2 linked regions of the Coturnix japonica genome follow. The protein of the gene in region 1 interacts with the protein of each later gene in a pairwise test. Links are inferred from orthologs where the notes say so. Each region holds a gene or a part of one and is shown in the gene's direction. Other genes may lie near its edges.

Evidence for each region.
Region 2: the proteins of GNL3 (region 1) and NPM1 interact in a two-hybrid assay, tested with the Homo sapiens proteins (2 studies listed by BioGRID, with this or other methods). The link is inferred for Coturnix japonica from reciprocal best matches to the Homo sapiens genes GNL3 and NPM1.

Annotation. Positions count from the first base shown.
Region 1 is NC_029527.1:378,478-387,667, forward strand, and holds the start of GNL3 (guanine nucleotide-binding protein-like 3), read left to right. Parts: upstream 1-3,513; 5' UTR 3,514-3,596; coding exon 3,597-3,609; intron 3,610-3,762; coding exon 3,763-3,821; intron 3,822-3,889; coding exon 3,890-4,027; intron 4,028-4,213; coding exon 4,214-4,327; intron 4,328-4,497; coding exon 4,498-4,584; intron 4,585-4,668; coding exon 4,669-4,804; intron 4,805-5,221; coding exon 5,222-5,325; intron 5,326-5,582; coding exon 5,583-5,715; intron 5,716-6,048; exon of another isoform or gene 6,049-6,121; intron 6,122-6,204; coding exon 6,205-6,292; intron 6,293-6,511; exon of another isoform or gene 6,512-6,589; intron 6,590-6,664; coding exon 6,665-6,848; intron 6,849-7,150; exon of another isoform or gene 7,151-7,223; intron 7,224-7,301; coding exon 7,302-7,444; intron 7,445-8,077; coding exon 8,078-8,214; intron 8,215-8,696; coding exon 8,697-8,899; intron 8,900-9,187; coding exon 9,188-9,190. Other genes in the region: PBRM1 (protein polybromo-1), read right to left, coding at 133-280, 500-597, 1,088-1,243, 2,318-2,365. UniProt on the Homo sapiens protein: May be required to maintain the proliferative capacity of stem cells. Stabilizes MDM2 by preventing its ubiquitination, and hence proteasomal degradation.
Region 2 is NC_029528.1:13,568,189-13,577,594, forward strand, and holds the start of NPM1 (nucleophosmin), read left to right. Parts: upstream 1-3,738; 5' UTR 3,739-3,824; coding exon 3,825-3,888; intron 3,889-4,373; coding exon 4,374-4,453; intron 4,454-7,159; coding exon 7,160-7,279; intron 7,280-7,830; coding exon 7,831-7,924; intron 7,925-8,169; coding exon 8,170-8,273; intron 8,274-8,707; coding exon 8,708-8,769; intron 8,770-9,149; coding exon 9,150-9,204; intron 9,205-9,406. UniProt on the Homo sapiens protein: Involved in diverse cellular processes such as ribosome biogenesis, centrosome duplication, protein chaperoning, histone assembly, cell proliferation, and regulation of tumor suppressors p53/TP53 and ARF.

The DNA of each region.
Region 1 (9,190 bases):
ATGCTGCCCTCTTACAAATATTAAAGGCAAAGCCAGAAAGTTTGGTTTTCTGCCAAACCAAGCAAGAACCTCGGCGTGTCCCTATCACTTCCATCATCAATAAATTCAAGCCTTTGTACCTATTTTCCTCACCTTGTAGTACGCCTTTGCATTGTTAAAGAGAAGCTGAAAATCAGCAGTCAGAACATTCACATCATCGTATTCCTCCATCTTCAGCTTTTGTTGGATCTTCATTAAATCAATTGGCTGGGAAACCACTTCATAATAGTCCGGTTGATTTCTGTGGTAATGACAAAACCAGGCATTATATTCCAAGCAGAAAGTTTAGATACAGAGACAACTAAACCAGCAGGTACCGCCAAACAATTACAACAAATACATCATCACGCATTGCTGTGACACTCTGATGAATATAGATGATTTTTTTTTTTATATTTCAACTGTAATTAATGTTGAAACATTCCTTAAATCCAAGGCTTGACAAGAACCACGGCCTCACCTTCGTTTCGGTGCTCTAATGAAAAGCTCACAAAGCAGCCGGCCCTGTTCATCTTTGTAATCTCTGATGGTGTTGTAAAGTTCATGACATACAGCAATCTAAAATTCAAGAACAATGCAAGAAAAAATAAGTAGATTTGGAAGAGATAAAAAATCAAGATCAGCTTAAAACAAGAAGGGGAAGGCAAGCTGCTCATGTGCAATGAGTGAAGAACTTGTGCACGCTGTGCATTAGTGCGATACGTAGCACGTCAGGTACTGCAGAATGTTAGGGTTGGCTGTTTGGTTTTTGTTTTGTATTGTCTGATTTAATAGAGTGAACTTTCTTTCAATACTAACCCTAAGCAGAACATTCCAAATGCAGACTGATTTAGGACAACGCTCTTTGAGTTACAGACATGTAAAACCATGACAGAGGTCCTATTAAAATTAAACCGCTAACTCAAAGACATAACAATGACACTGTATATTCCAGCACATATTGAAGAGCTGTTCTCCACTTTTATCTCACAATCCAGCATTTCCGGGACAAGAATACAGTTAACCCACAAGAAAAATATAAAGGTGTGTGTAACAAGAAGGTACTAACAGGATCCACGGTTGGGAGATTGGAAAGCCTCCTTCTCTTCCTGCTGGGGCCCGGGATATTCGTGGAGTGGTGGCCATCATCAAAGTCTCCTCCGCTGACGCTGCTGGACGGCGAGGTTGCTCTTCGCCTCTTGGAACCCATGGAATCCAACTTCTTCTATAATGAAAGAAATGTTCTTAAACTCTTGGCATTGCAACCAAACCCTCTGATGGGAGCGAGCTACTAAGTGAGCTATGTTTTGCAATGGGTCACACGTGTTTCCTATATACACAGTTCAGTTAAGCCACATGCAAACACCAGACGTGCACTGGGAGTAAAGGGAAGGCAAAATGGCCCTGCAGATTTACACTGCCACCACCAACACCAACATCAGGAACCAAGGGCTGACAGACACAAAGATGGATTCAGCAGATTTACCAGGACACGTTCTGAAAGCATTTACATTTTGGTTCCTCGAGCCATGCATGATTCCTATATGAGAACTGCTTTATAGGAAAGAGTCTTATGGAGAAAAGCACTTCATTCTGTCTCAAATTATAAAACCAACACAAAAAAAATGACAAGGATGCCATGAAAAAGACAAATGACCACCTAGAACACGAACTGCTGCTGAATACCTTGCCTTACATTCAAGCTACAAAAGGGCTCGGTTGTTGTGTGACAACTCCCAGCTCGTGTGTAACATGAATGAATGGCTCAATCATCAATGTGTATGTTTGGTGGCCCTGCTAGGCAGGGGGGTTGGAACTACATGATGCTTGAGGTCCCTTCCAACCCGGGTAATTCTGTGATTCTGTGATCAAGAAGCAGAAAAATCCACCTAATGTTTTGGTCACAGTTTCTATTTTATCAACGTAGCAGTGACAAATGGATTGCCACTGTCCAGCAGCATAAATGAACAGCCACTGTCCAGCAGCTATGGACATTATGGATCACGTTGCTGGCTCTTCCCCAGGTTGGTGACAGCACCATAACAACACCTCCACTTGTAGCTAACTCAAAGGACAGAACAGATCCATCTACCCCAGCCTACACCAAGTCAAGGAATCTGCTGGGGAGCTACAAGGCACAGCAGTACAACATGACTGCACGAGAGCATTTACGCTAGCAACAGAATTAATCTGGAGCACAAATTAGATGAATAAGAACAAGGCAGGAATAATAAACAGGTAGGGAAAGCCTTAATGCAGAAGAATGGAGAGCGTGGTGTACATTGGATCAATAATTTACCAGATTTACCAGAGTACAACCAGCACCTCGAAAAGCCAGTCTCCTCATCGTGCCTGGTGGGCAAGCACAGATAGTGGGAGAAGGGGACACCCAGAGCAGCAGGTCAGTGCTGTTAGTACAGCCAGAGCTGGAAGACAAGAACAAGGAAAGAGAGGAGAGAGCTGACAGCAGACGGGTTATTCACGGCAAAGAATAAGCGGAGGATTTCAAGTTGGCAGACAAAGCAAGAAACAGGAGGTAACTTTTGCTGTTGATCCTTAGCAGGAAGCCCCCAGAGCAGCGCTGGGTGCAGGACACGGGGCGTTTCTGTCACAGTTACTGATAAAAAAAGCACCTCGTTTCTGATCCGTTTCTCAGCAGTCAGTACTGAACAGCCACCGGAACAGCAACGACCCGCCGAGCGGAGCAGGGAGCGCACAGCTGAGCGGAGCTGCACGGCACGAACGGGGGATGCGGGGCAGCACAACAGGGCGGCAATTGGTGCGGGCACAAGCAGCGTTACCAGCCGCAACAACCACGAATGTCTGCGAGAGAACCGGGATCATTGTCGGGATGAGCGGCCGGACACGGCTCCCATACAGACAGAGCTGCTTCCATTTACAAGCTGCGTGCGGGGCCGACTGTCCGCCCCGCGTACGGGACCGTTCGGTGGCAAAGCGACCGCGACCATTGGGTTCACACAACTTAGTTCGGAACCGAACCCGGGGGAAGCGGCTTCAACCCGCAGCGCTCGGGCACCGCACCGAACTGCACCGAACCGCACCGCACCGCATCGCATCACACCGCACCGCACCGCACAGCACCGCACAGTACGGGCCGCTCGGCGGGAACAAGCGCTGTGTCGGGGCGGGTCGCCACAAGGCCAAGGCCGCTCCCGCTCGGACGGCACCGAACCCCGCGAGCGCGGCCGGGCCCCGGCACAGCGGGGCCTCAATGCGCGGAACGGGCGGGGACGGGCCCGACGGGGGTGGGGGCGGGGAACGGCGGCCCCGCTGCCGCCTCGCGCCGCTCGTGCACTCGAAGGGAGCCCGCCGCACCCCGACCCGCGCCGCCCCCGGCCCCGCCGCGCCGCTCACCCCGCACACGGCGCCGACCCCGCTCCGCTCCGCGCCGCACAACGCGGCCTGACGCCCCGCAACGCCGCCCAGCCCGACCGGCCGCAAAGCGCGCTCGGCAGCGCGACACCTCCAACAGGAAGAGCCGCCTCGCTTTACGGCAGCAACACCGGCGGGAGGAAGGGGAGGGACGGAGGAACCGCGTGAGGGAGAACGAGGCCGCCATGAAGAGACCGAGTGAGGAGCGGGGGGAACGGACGGGGTGGGATGGAACGGGACTGGACGGGATGGAATAGAACGGGAGGATGGGATGGGATGGGATGGGATGGGATGGGATGGGATGGGATGCTGCGGCCGAGCGGGGCTGACGGGCGCTGCGCTGTTCCTTAGAGCTGAGGAAGGCGAGCAAGCGGCTGACGTGCCACAAGCGGTACAAGATCCAGAAGAAGGTGAGGCCGGGCCGGGCCGGGCGGGGCGGGGCTGCAGGGACCCGCTGACGGACCGTGTGTGTGCCCAGATCCGGGAGCATCACCGCAAGGTGCGGAAAGAGGCCAAGAAACGGGGCCGCAAGAAGAACCGCAAGGACCCGGGGGTGCCCGGAACGGCGCCGTTCAAGGAGGAGCTGCTGAGGGAGGCCGAGCTCAGGAAACAGCGGGTAAAGGCGGGACCGTGTGTGTGTGTGTGTGTGTGTGTGTGTCCATCTGTGTGTGTGTGTGTGTGTGTCCAGCTGAGCTGCACCGGCATCTCTTACACAGACCAGTTCACATGTGCAGCAGGGTGCCATCCCGCACCACCCGCACACGTGTTTACCCGCATTGACCCCTTCCTTGTTCGCCATCAGCTGGAAGAACTGAAGCAGAAGCAGAAGCTCGAAAGGCAGAAGGAGCTTGAGAGGAGGAGGAAGCTCGACGCCAAGAGGAGCACGGCTGCAGCCCAGGAACAGACCGAGGGGAAGGTTGGTGCCTGCTGCCATTATCAGGACTTGAAGCTGGTGGAAGCAAAAGATACTGTCCTAGAATCACACCTGTACTGGTCTCGTGTTGTGTTGACTCTATAGGCTGTGTGCACACAAATACAGTACAGTAACTCTCAGTTAAATCATTTCTTTTCTGCTTTAATTTGCAGGAAGCCTCTGGCAAATCTGAAGCAAAGAAGACCAAGAAGGATCTGGATAAAAATGCAAAGAAGTCATTTCACAGTGAGCTTGAGAAAGTAAGATGCTTCAGCTGTTTTTATGTAATTTAATGAGAAGCAGTGAAACAACTTAAAATCTCTTTATTTTTCCCCCTTACGCAGGTGATCGAGATGTCAGATGTGCTTCTGGAGGTTTTAGATGCCAGGGATCCGATGGGCTGTCGCTGTCCCCAGCTGGAACAAGCTGTTGCTGGCTCTGGAGGAGAAAAAAAGCTACTGTTGGTTCTGAACAAAATTGGTAAGAAGCAGATTTTCTTCAAGTTTAGTTGCTGGGTGGTTCTGTTCTATGTGAGCTGTGCAGAAATCTGAGGTTCTGCTGCCATAACATCACCCGTTGTACCACGCAGCCTCTGTTTGTGATGCTACAAAATTAAAACCCCAACAAAGGGTCTGAAAACGTAACTGTGGTACATTCCACTTGGGGCAGAAAATCAGCCCTGGGAGCTGCAGCCCTGGGTGCCTTTGGGGATCTCAGCTCATAGTTCACTGGAAGTTTACATAAAAATAAATACAAGAGCCGTGGAGTTTTCAGTCAGTTTTCATAGAGAAATGTACCAAGTGGACAGAATAGATCCTGGTTTCTGATTCCACGTTAGATTTCTCCAGACAGCAACACAACATTCACAGCAGTGAGAAGGCTGTGCTCTTCTTCCAGATTTAGTGCCAAAGGAAAACTTACAGAAGTGGTTGAATTATTTGAAGAAGGAATTTCCAACAGTTGCCTTTAAATCAGCGACGCTGCTGAAGGACAGGAACATGGTAAGAGCTCTGTGTGCTGCCTCAGGTGACTGAATCATACGTGTCTGCAGTTGTAGGTGTTGAAACACGTTGAAGCAGGATCTCTTGTGCTTCAAAATTCCTTTTTCCTGTATTTGATTATTGTGCTTCACCTGTCCTACGAAATGTTCACCTGACACAGTAACATCAGCAAATGAAGCACAGGAGCTGGACGTGTTACAGTAGATGAATAAACGTAAGACTCTGCCATGTTTGTTTTGTTCCTTTGAATCCTGTAGCAGACTTTCTCGAGAAGAAGAGCACGGATTGATTTATCGAGACACACTGAAAGCTTTGGAAGCACGTGCCTTGTGAAACTTCTTCAGGAGTACGGGAGGACGCAGAACAAAGCCATTCAGGTTGGGTTAGTAGGTAAGACTTTGGAGAGATGGTAGAAGTTTCCTTTTCCTCCCATTACAGCTCTGGTATCCTGCGTAAAACAACCAACATGTTACTCGCTTCTGGGTCTTGTAGGCAGTGTTCTCATTTACAGCTGAGACTCACAGCACCTCAGCTGATAGTGATCTGTCCAGTACTTTAATGCAGAGTGTATGTGACCCGTGGAATGCACATTTTATGAGGCCTTAACTGATAAAGCAGATTTAGTTACGTACCGCACAGCCTCCACTGCCTCCTCCTCCCATCGGGTGAGGTTTGTGGTGTGACATTCAGTGAGGTTTTTCACATCCTTCCTATTGCAAATGTGAGAAATGAGGATACAGACGTTGTCTGACTTCTATATGAAGACTTCAGATCCAACTCTGATCTCACATGGAAGATGTATGTGATCAGAAACACGTGACCAGTTGGTAAATAAGCTGAGTTTTCTTATTTACGAGGATTTTTGTGCTTTTTTTCCAGGATTTCCTAACGTGGGGAAGAGCAGCGTAATCAATAGCATTAAGAAAGATCGTGTTTGTGATGTTGGGCCAGCCAGAGGTGTCACCAAGTAAGCTGAGTTAACAGCTGTTTGTTTTCCTGTCCTTATTACCCTGAGTTGGTTGTATACAATTTCTGTGCGCCAGGAGCAGTCAGAACATGCCTAAGTTCAGTTTTAAATGCGCGTTTCAATCTGCAGCATTCAGAACCTTATCGTTCATCCTGGCCAGCTGCCACAAGAGAATACAATGCATAAACTTGCTCTTACTGCGCGTTTGGATTTCTGTCCAGCACAAAGCACATGATGAGAAAGCACTGAAACTGACTCTGCATGAAGTGCATTCAATCCAATGCTGAGCTTTGTGGTTCACTTCCCTCACTGTTTTCAGTCCTTTGCTGTTTGATTTGTCCTCAGACGTGGCCTGTTTCTCTCTCTGATCAGGTCCATGCAAGTTGTGCGTATTGATAAACAGCTGAAGATTTTAGACAGTCCAAGCATAGTTGCAGACCGTACCAACAGCGCTGTGACAATGGCCCTGAGGAGCATCATACACGGTGGGGAGTTGTGCTCAGTGAACCTGGTGAAAGCAGTAGATGCCATTCTGGATCACTGCAATAAGCAGCAGGTAAGTTCTGTTGTCATTCTTCCACAGCCTACAACTGCTCTCTAGGTTTCTTAGGCCAATAACGGAAGTTCATTTCACTTTGGATAGTTCTTCTGCTCTGCCTTCTCTTTAACCAAACTTTGGCTGGGTGTATCCAGTGCTGTGTGATCATCCACCCTTGTACCTGGACGATGGCAGCAGCACAGCAGGGTCTGTCAGCTGCTTTGTTTTCCCACTGAATTCACTGATTTAAAGAAAAAATAAAAATCCACCAACAAAGCACCTGCCTGTAAATGTATCATCAGGCAACGATGTCATGGAGTGAAAAATGAAGATACTTTAATTGCTTCTTATTACAATGAAGACTTCAGATCCAACTCTGATTTCACTCTATGGTTTCAAGTATGTTCACAGAAGCCTGACCCCGTTCCAGCTCTGTGATAACCGCTTCCCGCACTGCTTTCTTTGCTCTAGGTGATGATGTTCTACAGCATCCCAGATTTCAGGAACACTGAAGAGTTTTTAAGTTTACTTGCTCAGAAAAGGGGCATGCTGAAAAAAGGGGGCGTTCCCGACATAGAGAACATGGCTAAGTCACTGCTTTGTGACTGGACTGGGTACGTATGTCACCAGTTCTGAGTTATGCTGCAGAGCTTTTTGATTTTGACCTTGTTAAATCTGCTGTGACCAGACAGCAGAACTGAGTCCTGAGAACGGCTTCCAGGAAGGAGGGGAAGTTTTGGTGGCTGTTCGGAGCAGTCAGACTGGATCAGCCAACAGAGGACAGCAGCCAAGGCTAATTAGCTAAAATACTAAAATACAGACAGAGTCAAAGCAAATTCTGGGGAGTTCTGGGCTGGGTTTGCTGAGCCCTGCTGTAAGTCCACGAGGAGAACTGGCCCTGCTCTCTGTTCCTGTTGTGCTCTCTTCCATCAAGAAGGAATCTTGCAACTTTTTTTTCCTTTTTGAACCTGTAGTGATTCCTGTGTTCTTCTGAGCATGGGAGGGATCAGTTCAGAACCAGTGATGAACAGGTTGCAATGAACTTGCTGAGGCTGTTCAGGTGCTTCAGAGCAGGCCATCCTTAATTCTGTTACTGACAGCTGCTGAGTCCAACTTAAACAGTCGTTTAACTGCTGCTAAACAGATAATATGGGAGGAGTGGTTCAGCTGAGGAGTTCTGAAGGCGTGGGCTCTGGGTTTGATTCTGAAGTACGGTGATTTGACCACGTTATCTTTGGTTTTTGCAGAGCTAAAATAAGCTACCACTCAGAACCACCCCCATCTCAGATCCTGCCGCCATACCTGACAGAAGACAAAATAGCTGAAATGCAGGTGGGCTTCAATTTAAAGAAGCTGGAAGAAGAAAACAGCAGCACAGTTCAAGGTACTGCACAGCTACCACCAAGGGCTGTTGTAGAAGCTGTAATAGGAGACCACGAGTGGAAGCTGTCCTGGGACTTACACAACTGTTTTGTCTACATGCAGCCAACACAAACCTTTAGAGAATTAAATGGGTTCCAATGCAACAACACAGCAGACTCGGGTGCTGCCTTAACACAGATCACCCCTGCTAGATTACCCCAGCAATTTGCAGTTTCTGCTTATCTGATTTAACCTTTCTAAATAGCCAGTGCTTATGGGCCCTGTCCCATTCTTACCCTGCCCCATTTCCAAGTTAGACCAACAAAATATGTTCCTGTTCTGTACATCTTACACTCAGGACCCAGTTCTTCACCATGGCAATCTTCTTGTTCTTACTTTCTCTCCCTGATTATGTGGAAATGCACATAATTTCCTTTTAATGGGGAGACATCGTATCTCATGCAAACAGCAGATGTAACAGACAGCTTTGTATGTATTTCCCAGCTCTAAAGTACCCCAGCCCAGCAAGCAGCATTGTTTTCCAAGCAGTTGGCATGACTAATGGGAAAATAGTGAAAGATAAGGTGGAAGAAGAAGAATCGGAGTGGGAGGACTTGGAAATAAGCCACGAGGAAGAAGATTTAATGGAAACTGATGATGATCAAGACACTATGGAAGAAGAAGAGGAGGAAAATAACATCAAAGAGGTAAACCTGGGTTTCATTTGTTTCCTACCTGCTTGGCCCTGACAACAAGTAGCCAGTTAATGTCCTGCTATAAGCAACGTGCAGACACTGCAGAGCCACCCGGAGTAACCACAAGGCACCCCTAGAAATAAGGGCTGAGCAGTGTTGGTCAAGGTCAGTCAGTGTGTTACTGACCAGCAGCTGAACACTGGGACAACCACACTGTCCTCAGTCTCTATATTTACATGGGAAGTTTCATTAGTGCTGTCTGACCAAACTCACATCTCTGACCTCTCCAACCCATTGCAGGAT
Region 2 (9,406 bases), on another chromosome or scaffold:
CATGAGCAATGCTAACACTGGGAGTGCTGAGGGCTAATTGATCTGTCAGTAGCTTGCTATTAACAAGGCACCTAGGGCAATCCTTCCCACCTCTAAACCCCACTGGCAAAGGATCTGGAGGGACTCTGGGCTCTTGCTGAGGTGATAGAAATGGCAAGTGATAAGTAAAATGACTGAGGAGCACTGCTTTGTAATTAAATGTTAAAAGGCACGGCAACGAAGGTAAATGAAATTGATGGGACCTGCAGGAAGCCACACAGACGTGCGCAGTACATCTGGTTGTGTCAGGACAGTTAACAATTTGAGTTAACAAAACAAAGTGAAGATGTTGGCAGGAGAGGCAGAGAGCTCAGCAGCAGCTCGTCAGAGATTTGCAAATAGAGAGCAAAGCCTGCAAAGTGCCATACGAGGCAGATGGGAGCTCTCGTTGTGAGGCTGCTGTCTGCACTTAGACTTCAAATTTGGAAATAATTTAGAGATAATTAAAAATCATCATCACGTACCAGTGGGGGTTTGGGAACAAAGCATGGCCTCTGACTGATGCTCTTGAGGTCCTTCCATTGCATGGTTTAAACAACATGTGGGCAAGGTCAAGCCCAGGAGAGAACCAAGGGATGAATAAGGAGAGACTATTTCTTTCCCTCAAGAGGTTTAGTTTGAATGTGGAAGCTGTGGACCCCCAAATGGGGTCCAGCTCACAGCTCAGTGGTGTTTCTTGGTCTGTGAGCTGATTAGGATCACCTCATCCTCAATCTGGAGGTCTATGTCTGAGTGCTCCCAGCCTCCACCGTGCAATACCTTCTTCTAAGCAACCCTCGAGCATCAGTGCTGGAGGTGGGGAGAAACAGGGAAACCTTGGGAGACCTGGAGCAACGCATGAAACGCAGGGGATGAGGCAGGCAGGTAACAGAAGCTGATTTGGGATCACTAGGTGGTGCTGTTGATCTTAATACGAGAGCAGACAGCTTTGAGAGGATGAAATTTCACTCCTGAAGCTCTTATCCAGAGCATCAGCCCATCATTGTGTCGGACTGACTGCACCCTATCTGCCTCTTGAACAGCAGATGGGTCCATCCTTGGGGTCCTGATATTCAGATGCAGCTGTAGAGTGCATCTAACACAGGAAACTCAGGACCTGGACACATGCACTCTGTGGGCCCACCTTGCAGCTTTAGCTCTCCCTTACTCAGAACCCGCAGAAGCAGTGCGAGTGCATTATTGTAAAACCAAAGCAGAATAAGTAGCAGTGAAAAATGACCACCAGAACAGGCTGCTTTATGTGGAGTGCCATCTGTCCCCTCCACTCTCCACGTCTTTGGTCACTGACTGATGCCTTGGTCAGGAGAGCTCACGCACATCTGCACCGATGTGGAGCATCACCTCAGGACTGGGTTCATTAGTTTAACAAGCAGAGTAATGTTGGCAGCTGGAAGCAGATATAGCAGTAGTACACGACAGCAAATGAGAACCCAGTGGGAGGCACTGCAGACCCTTTAATGGGGCAAGGGCATTTGGTGAGATCTGAGCACATACGAGATCCAGGCACATAAACCCATCTGGGCATGAGCAGAGCCATATCTGACCCTTGTCTGCATGCACAAAAGCTCACTGTACAGTTTAAATTCCTTTCTTTATATAAAGGGACTAACTTTGAGCCAGTTATTTCGTGCTCAGGGCTCATTCATTCCAAATGATTAGGCTCTGTACACACTGGAACGGCTTTTAGGGTATTTAATAAAGAAATAAGGAGAAACTTCGGGTGAGCTCAGGCTTTAATGCCTTGATAGTAATGCCAGGTGTGATTTACCTGTGTAACTTTGTGACACCTGAGTGTCTGTTTTGTGGATATTCCTCCATTTTTGAGGCAGATCTCTGAAATGGGGCCCTAACAAATAATGGATCCCTTGGAAGCAAAATGAGAGGCTTCAGAGGAGATGGAGCAGCAGCAGCAGATGCTGCCATTAGCATGCAGGCTTGGTTATCAGCCGCCCTTGGCTTCCCTCCAGCACACAGCTTTCTCCAGCACTGAAGGACCTTCTGATGCAGGCCTTGGGCTGCTCTGCATAAACAACGTGCTACAGGCAAAGCCTGCATGAAATAGACTATATACTAAAGGAGAACAAAGAAAACTCCCAGTGCCACCCATGACAGGATCAGAGGATCCAAAGGCTGCAGTAAGGAGGTGAGGCTGAGAGGATCCGTGGCTGCAGAACAGTTCAGAGCTGGGATGCCACCAGGTACTGATAGCAGTGTCCTAGTGACAGCATCACCTGTGTCACTCAGTTCAATGGAAACACATGGACTTTCAGGTCTGTAGGTGTTATTTCTGACATCAAGGAAGGGTAAGTTCTGGTGCCTTTTAAGATCTTCCCCTGGAGTTCTCTAGGGCACGAACTGTGGAGGGGTACATGACAGGTACACGAAGGTTGTATCATCACATCAGCATGCAAACTGAGATTGCATAGGAAATCTATCTTATGTCTGTAACATAAGCCATGCTGTGGCTTTAACCGTGTTCGAAATGTGATTTCCTAAGTTTTGTAAAAGCCTCCTAGAAAGAGAATTCCATTAAGGGAAACCACGTTGACTCCGATTTCTTCCTCACTTCTCCCAGTGCAGCTATTTCTAAATCACTCCTAAGCTTTTTCAGCTATGCTGAATATTAGATGGCATACGGTTGAGCAGAATAAAATGATCGATATTGTAATGGACTTCTCATCCTAGTACATGGAAGGAATAATAAATGTCGTGATATATGACAGCCCTTCTTAAGCCCCATGGAGCCAAACGAGATGCAGTAAGCATATATCTCCTACTTGCTACCCCTGTTTTTGCTTCCCTGCGTCTGTCCTTTGTTTCCTCCCGCATTTATTTCCTCGGTAATGGATGGGTGTAATTGAATTAAAAGTGACTCGGTCTGAAGAGGAACGTTCTGGGGCTGCACTGCTTCCCTTTGACAGGGAATCACATTTGACAGAATCACAGAATGACCCGGGTTGGAAGGGACCTCAAGGATCATGTAGTTCCAACCCCCCTGCCTGGCAGGGCCACCAAACATACACCTTTACTAGATCAGGTTGCCCATGGCTCCGTCCAACCTGGTCTTGAACACCTCCAAGGACGGGGCATCCATAGCCTCCCTGGGCAGCCTGTTCCAGGGCCTCACCACTCTCCTAGTAAAGAACTTCCCCCTAGACTTCTCCTGTCTTTCCATACCCATCTGGCTTTGTGACCAGCTTAAAGGAACCGAATTTGCTTGGCATCCATCTCATGGTGGGCAGCAAATGCAATGGTGGGTCAGGTGTTGCTCTTGTCTTGCATCCATGTGGAGCAGCACACACTTTATCTTTATCCCCTTTAACTTAAAAATGCCTTTTAGCAAGCTCAGATTTGACACTGCAATGGATGCAGCTCGTGGTCCATGCAGCCCTAATAAATTAATCCTCATTCACACCACATTTGTGGTGTTTTAGCAGTCCCAGCACAAAGCACTGCATTTGTACATCTCGGTAACGGGATTTGCTAACGGGATTTGGTAACGGGACCGGTTGGTACTGTTAGAACATGTACACAGGGATGAGGAGCACGAAGGACACGTTGGAAATGAATGGGGTGACATCACATCCCACACACCGCCTCCATTTTGTATCCGCCCCGTTTACATCACCCACAACCACAATCACGACCCTCCTCCACGGCCGAGGATCTCGCGAGAACACGCGGGCTATATATAGGAGGGGGGCGGGCGCGGGGCTTCCTTTAGTGCTTGTCCGCCCGCCGCGCCGCATCGTGCACAGATCCAGCCGAGAGAGCAGGCCGAGAACATGGAGGACAGCGCTATGGACATGGAGAGCATGGGGCCGCTGCGCCCGCAGACCTTCCTCTTCGGTAACGGGATCGGCTCCCCACGCTGTGCTGGGGGCTGTAGGGCGCGGTGGAGGCGGTTGGTTGGGCCTTGGGCCTGAGGGGGCTCCCGTTGGGCCGCATTGGAGTGGGAGGAGGCGGAGGAGGCCGCGGGGCAGCGCTGAGCGTTGGGCCGCTCCGGTTCCGCTCCGGTTCCGATCCGGTTCCGCTCCGTATGTGGTGGCGATGCGGCCCTTTTGTTCCTCAGACCCTGAGCACGTGGAGCGGCGTGCGGGGACCTGCGGCCATTGCAGCACACATGGAGTATGTGGGGGGGGGGGGGGTGAGATGCGGCCTGCACCGGGAGGGGAGCGGCCTGCAGAGCGGCCGCGTGGTCGGCCGTAGGTCTGGGCCTAACACAGCACGTGTCCTAAACGTGGATGTGTCCTAAACGTTGGGGCTATGGAGTAACGGGGGAGGTTGGCCATGAGGCTCATCGTTCTCTGTCGTCTGCTCACTCTTCATTACAGGCTGTGAGCTTAAAGCGGAGAAGGAGTATCAGTTCAAAGTAGATGATGAAGAGAACGAGCATCAGTTGTCCTTGAGAACGGTAAGTAGCTTTTGTTTTCCTACTTTTCGAGTTCTGAGGTGGGGTTTTCAAGTAGTGCTGCGTGGTTGCTGTGAGAAGGCCAATGTGGTGTGTAAACTCACTGCATTGAACTGATTTATCTTTAAATAAGTACCGATGTTTTGTGGGCTATTACAAGTAATACAAGCTTGAGAATATGGTAACCTATGTCCAGTGAGTTAATAAATGTTTATTGGAAGGAATCGAGAGTTGGAGCTGACATTGAGTGCAATATTCAGTTGTTCCAGGAGCACGAGGAGGGGAAGACTTAGATTAATCATAGAGGGCACATTGCAGCAGAGCACAGGAACTTTACTTTGAAATGGATCTTTCATATACTCCCCAGTTGTAATTTCTGGGCTTTTTTCCCCACAAACTGCTAATAATGTGTGGACTTGGATCTTTTTGGGGCCTGTGGCATTGAGCAGGGCACAGTATTTTGGGGCCTTGGCTCAAGGCTGAGCATGCTTGTGTTGTTTTCCTCATCACTAATACAAGGTGATGCAACTTAACTTGCAATGAGTTTGTAGCTCCCAGCCAAGGAAGTCGTGGTGCCTCTGCATTTTCACTTATATTTAAACATGAAGGTTACACCTTAATGTAAAAGAAAAAATTAAGCTAGAAGTGAGAATTGCTCCTTGCAGGAGATTTGGATGTTAATGTTGTTCAATGCACAGCCTTATCAGAACGATACTTAGGATGCTTTCACTTCAACATTAGTTGTGTGAGTCACGTCTTCACCCTTTTGTTTCACGGATATTACAGTCTGGACTTGACAACGAGCAATTTAGACACAATTGTCGGCCCTTTAGAGTTTGTTTTGAGGGAAGTTCTTTGAGAAGGTTGATGCAGGTGGTTCTCATACCTGTATGGCTGTAACAAAGTAAGAATTGTCACATGGTGATACTTCAGTTGTGTGGATTTGTCTAAAGATTCTCACTTTAGAAGTGAGCTGTAGCATCTCCTGATGGACTGGGGGGGTCTTCATTGAGCATGGAGCAGATTCTATGCTTAGCAGAATGTAGTTTTAGGCCATTTTTTCCCATGTGGGGAAAAAAAGTCTTATTCAGCAGCATGATTTTTAAACTAAAAAGATGACCAAAAAGAATGATGGGGATTGAAATAACAGGTTAGTAATGTCTTAAGCTTGGCATCTCTTAAAAGAATCTACAAGGAAGAGATGGCTTATTAAGCAGGGTAAGGAGGTTCTGGAAGATAAAGCATGACTCTTGTAAACACTGTGTCTGTGCTCAGGATGAAAGTATAAATGAATAAAGGTAGACACGTGTAATTTAAGTCTCTGGCTGAATTTGTGCTGGGGAGGGAGGGGAAGGGAGGACAAAGAAGGATGAAAATGAAAGGGGAGGAGCACTGATGTGTGTAGAGGTAGAAAGTTGTATGAGGGTTAACTTACATCTTTAGGCTCACTTAGCTAGTGGAGTGGTTGCTGCCTCCTTCCCCTTATTGTTTAGTCTAACTTTGGTGTAGAAGGCAAGACATGTAAATGGATGCCTGCCAGCCACTCAGTAAAGAAATGTATCTTAGTTACTATAATATTGGTTGAACTGGTATAGATGGCAGGGGTAGGTAGCTGTGGGCAGGGAGGACATGCTTTAAAATGAAATTCTCATCCTAGTGGGCAGTCCCACCAGCTGATTGTAGTGCGGATCCATTTGAGAGGTGAGATCAGAGCACCAATATCACTGCTTCTAATTCACATGATAAAACATTGCCTCATGTAGTGGAGCCTACATCCTGTTTCTTAGTCTTCATTTGATGTGCTTTGCCTAGATTGTGATCACTTGCTTAAAACACATGTCATAGGGAATGGAAGCTTGAGCATGCCACTGTCTTTGTGAAGTGCTTACACACTTAATTCATGAAGAGTGAGAAGCTTTCTTCTCATGGCTGTTGGGAAGGGATGCAGTAAGCCATGTTTGCTTGCCTCAGAGATAATTGTAGTACTTGAGGAAGTTCTTGGTTTTCAGAGGACTTGCATATAACTCTGACTCAGATGCCAGAGGTTCAGAAAACTGGAATTTCTGGCCTGGTTTATGTCTGTCACTTGTTTGCTACCTTCAAGCTACAATTTTCAAGTTATTGGAACGTGCCTGTCTTGTATGTGGTGTAAGGAATCAAGGTACTTGAGTCTGAGATGCACTAGGATGACAGCGCTCAGTACTTGGTGGGTTAATGCAGAAGGCTCGTGCCTAAAAGAAAAGCTCTGAACTCAGCAGCGCTGAGACTTAAACTCTCCTTGAACTTAAAGTAAACAACACAGTGTGGTGTTGCAGTGAGAACTTGACAGAGAAGTAGCTGTAAAGGAAGGGAAAAGTATCGAGGCTGTGTTTCTCTGGTAATAATAGCAGCTGTTTTATCTTCCTGTAGCCATGTATGTGTGCTTCTTCACATGGGACTGTTACGGTGCTGTCTGGACTTGTCACTGACACCCCCTCCTCCTTGAAAGCAATAAGTCTATAAGTTCACTACACCAATTGTCTGGAATCACACACTGTACAAGCGAGTGCTATGGGAAGAGAGGTGGTGGTTTTGGGGAGGAGTGTGACTCAGCTATTAGTATTCGCAGATACAAATGTCAATCTTTGTGTGCAGAACTGCAAACACAATTTAAAGGACTTCAGATACTGAAGAGTGTTCTTAGGATGTGCACTGTTCTTTACTTCACAGGTTACATTAGGGCCTGGAGCCAAAGACGAATTACATGTTGTAGAAGCAGAAGCACTGGACTACGAAGGCAACCCTACTAAAGTAGTACTGGCATCTCTGAAAATGTCTGTGCAGCCTACAGTAAGTAAATGGACTTGGAACAGTCTATTACAAATTGGGTCTCAGGTGAGGTGGGTATATTAGAAGAGGGTTTAGGCTGCCCAAATTGTATTGATCTGTCATAGTGCTTAGTGGATTCACAGATGTAGTGAATACAAGCTAAATCTATATATATATATATATTTTTTTTTTCCTTGGCTTGCTGTAGTCACAGGCAATTGACAGGCTTTGAGTCAATTTACACATTTTAAAAATACTACATTTTACTAATATATTGTACTAATTTTACATGTTGTCCTATACAATCACATATAGATGCACCCACATGCAAAGACAATTGTGGATTGGTCTGGCTTTAAAAAGCATGTTTTAATTATGATACACCATCACCATGTTATAAAAACAGTGCTATTGCTGCACTTTGACCCTGAACTAATTCCAAATGCTTCTGGAATATTCTCTCAGCTTGAAGAGTGTGGTTGGTGTGTTAAGTTATTAATCTCCAGATGTTGGCGTAGTTGGTTTAATTTGGATGGATTACCTGTTGAACACACTTTGCTTTTCTCCCTTAGGTTTCACTAGGTGGATTTGAGATCACACCACCAGTTGTTTTGAGGTTGAAATGTGGTTCGGGGCCTGTTTATGTCAGCGGTCAGCATCTTGTAGGTATGTATTGCTCTGGTTACTGATGTTCAAAACTATTCATTCATTTGCAAAACAAAGGGATTTTTACAACTCAATGTAATAAACCTGCATGCCACTGATGCTAAAGCAGTCTGCTATTTATAAGGAGGCATCGGTATTGGGAAGTTCCCACTGCTGCCTGAGGATCTGTGAGCTTGAGTGGTGTCATCTTGCTTATGCTATTGTTAACAAGGTGGATGTTTTAAACATTGCCATCATTTTATCAGCATTAGAGGAAGAACCAGAATCAGAGGACGAGGAAGAGGATACAAAAATCGTGAATGCTTCTACAAAGAGACCAGCAAGTGGAGGAGGAGCTAAAACACCACAGGTACACTCCCAGTCAGATTGCATAGTTCTGTTTTGCTTCAGTGTATTCATTCTGCCTTGGAAGTGAGCAGTTAGTTATTAAATTAGTGTTGGAGAGGTTTGCTTTGTACATGGGTCTTGACAGGTACTAACTTAGAAAAGTGCTGTTAAATACAGCTTGTTTCCAAAGCTGGATGGGCTAATTTAAAGGTTACTTTGACCACTGCAGTAACTGCACTTAAACTCAAACTCTTTCAGTATACTGTTCAAACACTGGTATAGCATAAAGGATTGATGTGGCCATTCTTGCTGTTTCATAGCGTTTGATTGGGCAGCTCTGTGTGTTAATTTTTTAGATAAATTGTTCTTAGGACACAAATTACATGGAAGAAGAGGTTGCTGTCTTTTAAGGCTTAATATGGTATTGATGCTTAACATACTATTTCTTTTTCCAAGAAAAAAGCAAAATTATCAGAAGATGACGAGGATGACGATGAAGATGAGGATGATGATGATGAGTATGTATTTTTGTTTTGAAATAGAGGCATCACTTGGAGTATGAGTTGTGTGATGTATCTATAGGTATTAAGTGAGCAAGGTGCTTCTTGGCCTTCACTATAGGAAAAGAATTAGCTTAAATTTATTTCCAAACATAATTTAAATTAGTGTTACTCAAAGATGTAATTTTTGGTTGGGAAAATCAGCCTTGTGTAGTTTGGTAACTTTCTATAGATTTAGGATTTCCTTATTGTAGTATTGATAACTGTAAGGTTTGCACCTTGAGCATTGAAGTAGAAGGCAGTATATTTAACTGCACCGTTGGTAAGTAGAGTATTTTACTTAGCAGCATGTTACCTGTTAAAACAGTTTATGGTGAATGACAAATTTCTAATTGTAGTGATGAAGACGACTTGGATGATGATGAGGAAGAGATTAAAACACCAATGAAGAAAGTAAGTGGTCCATTTGTTATTTTGAATAATACATGTGACCCTTTTCACCTGTGAAGAGCAGTCTTAGAGCTCTTTATTCAGCCAGGAGTGGCAAGTGCTGAGTGGTTCTTAACCACCTGTGTGCCATGTGCAGTAGGCTGTGGTAGCTTTATGTATGGGTGTTGGGCATCAAGCACATATTTGTTCCTACACATGGATTATG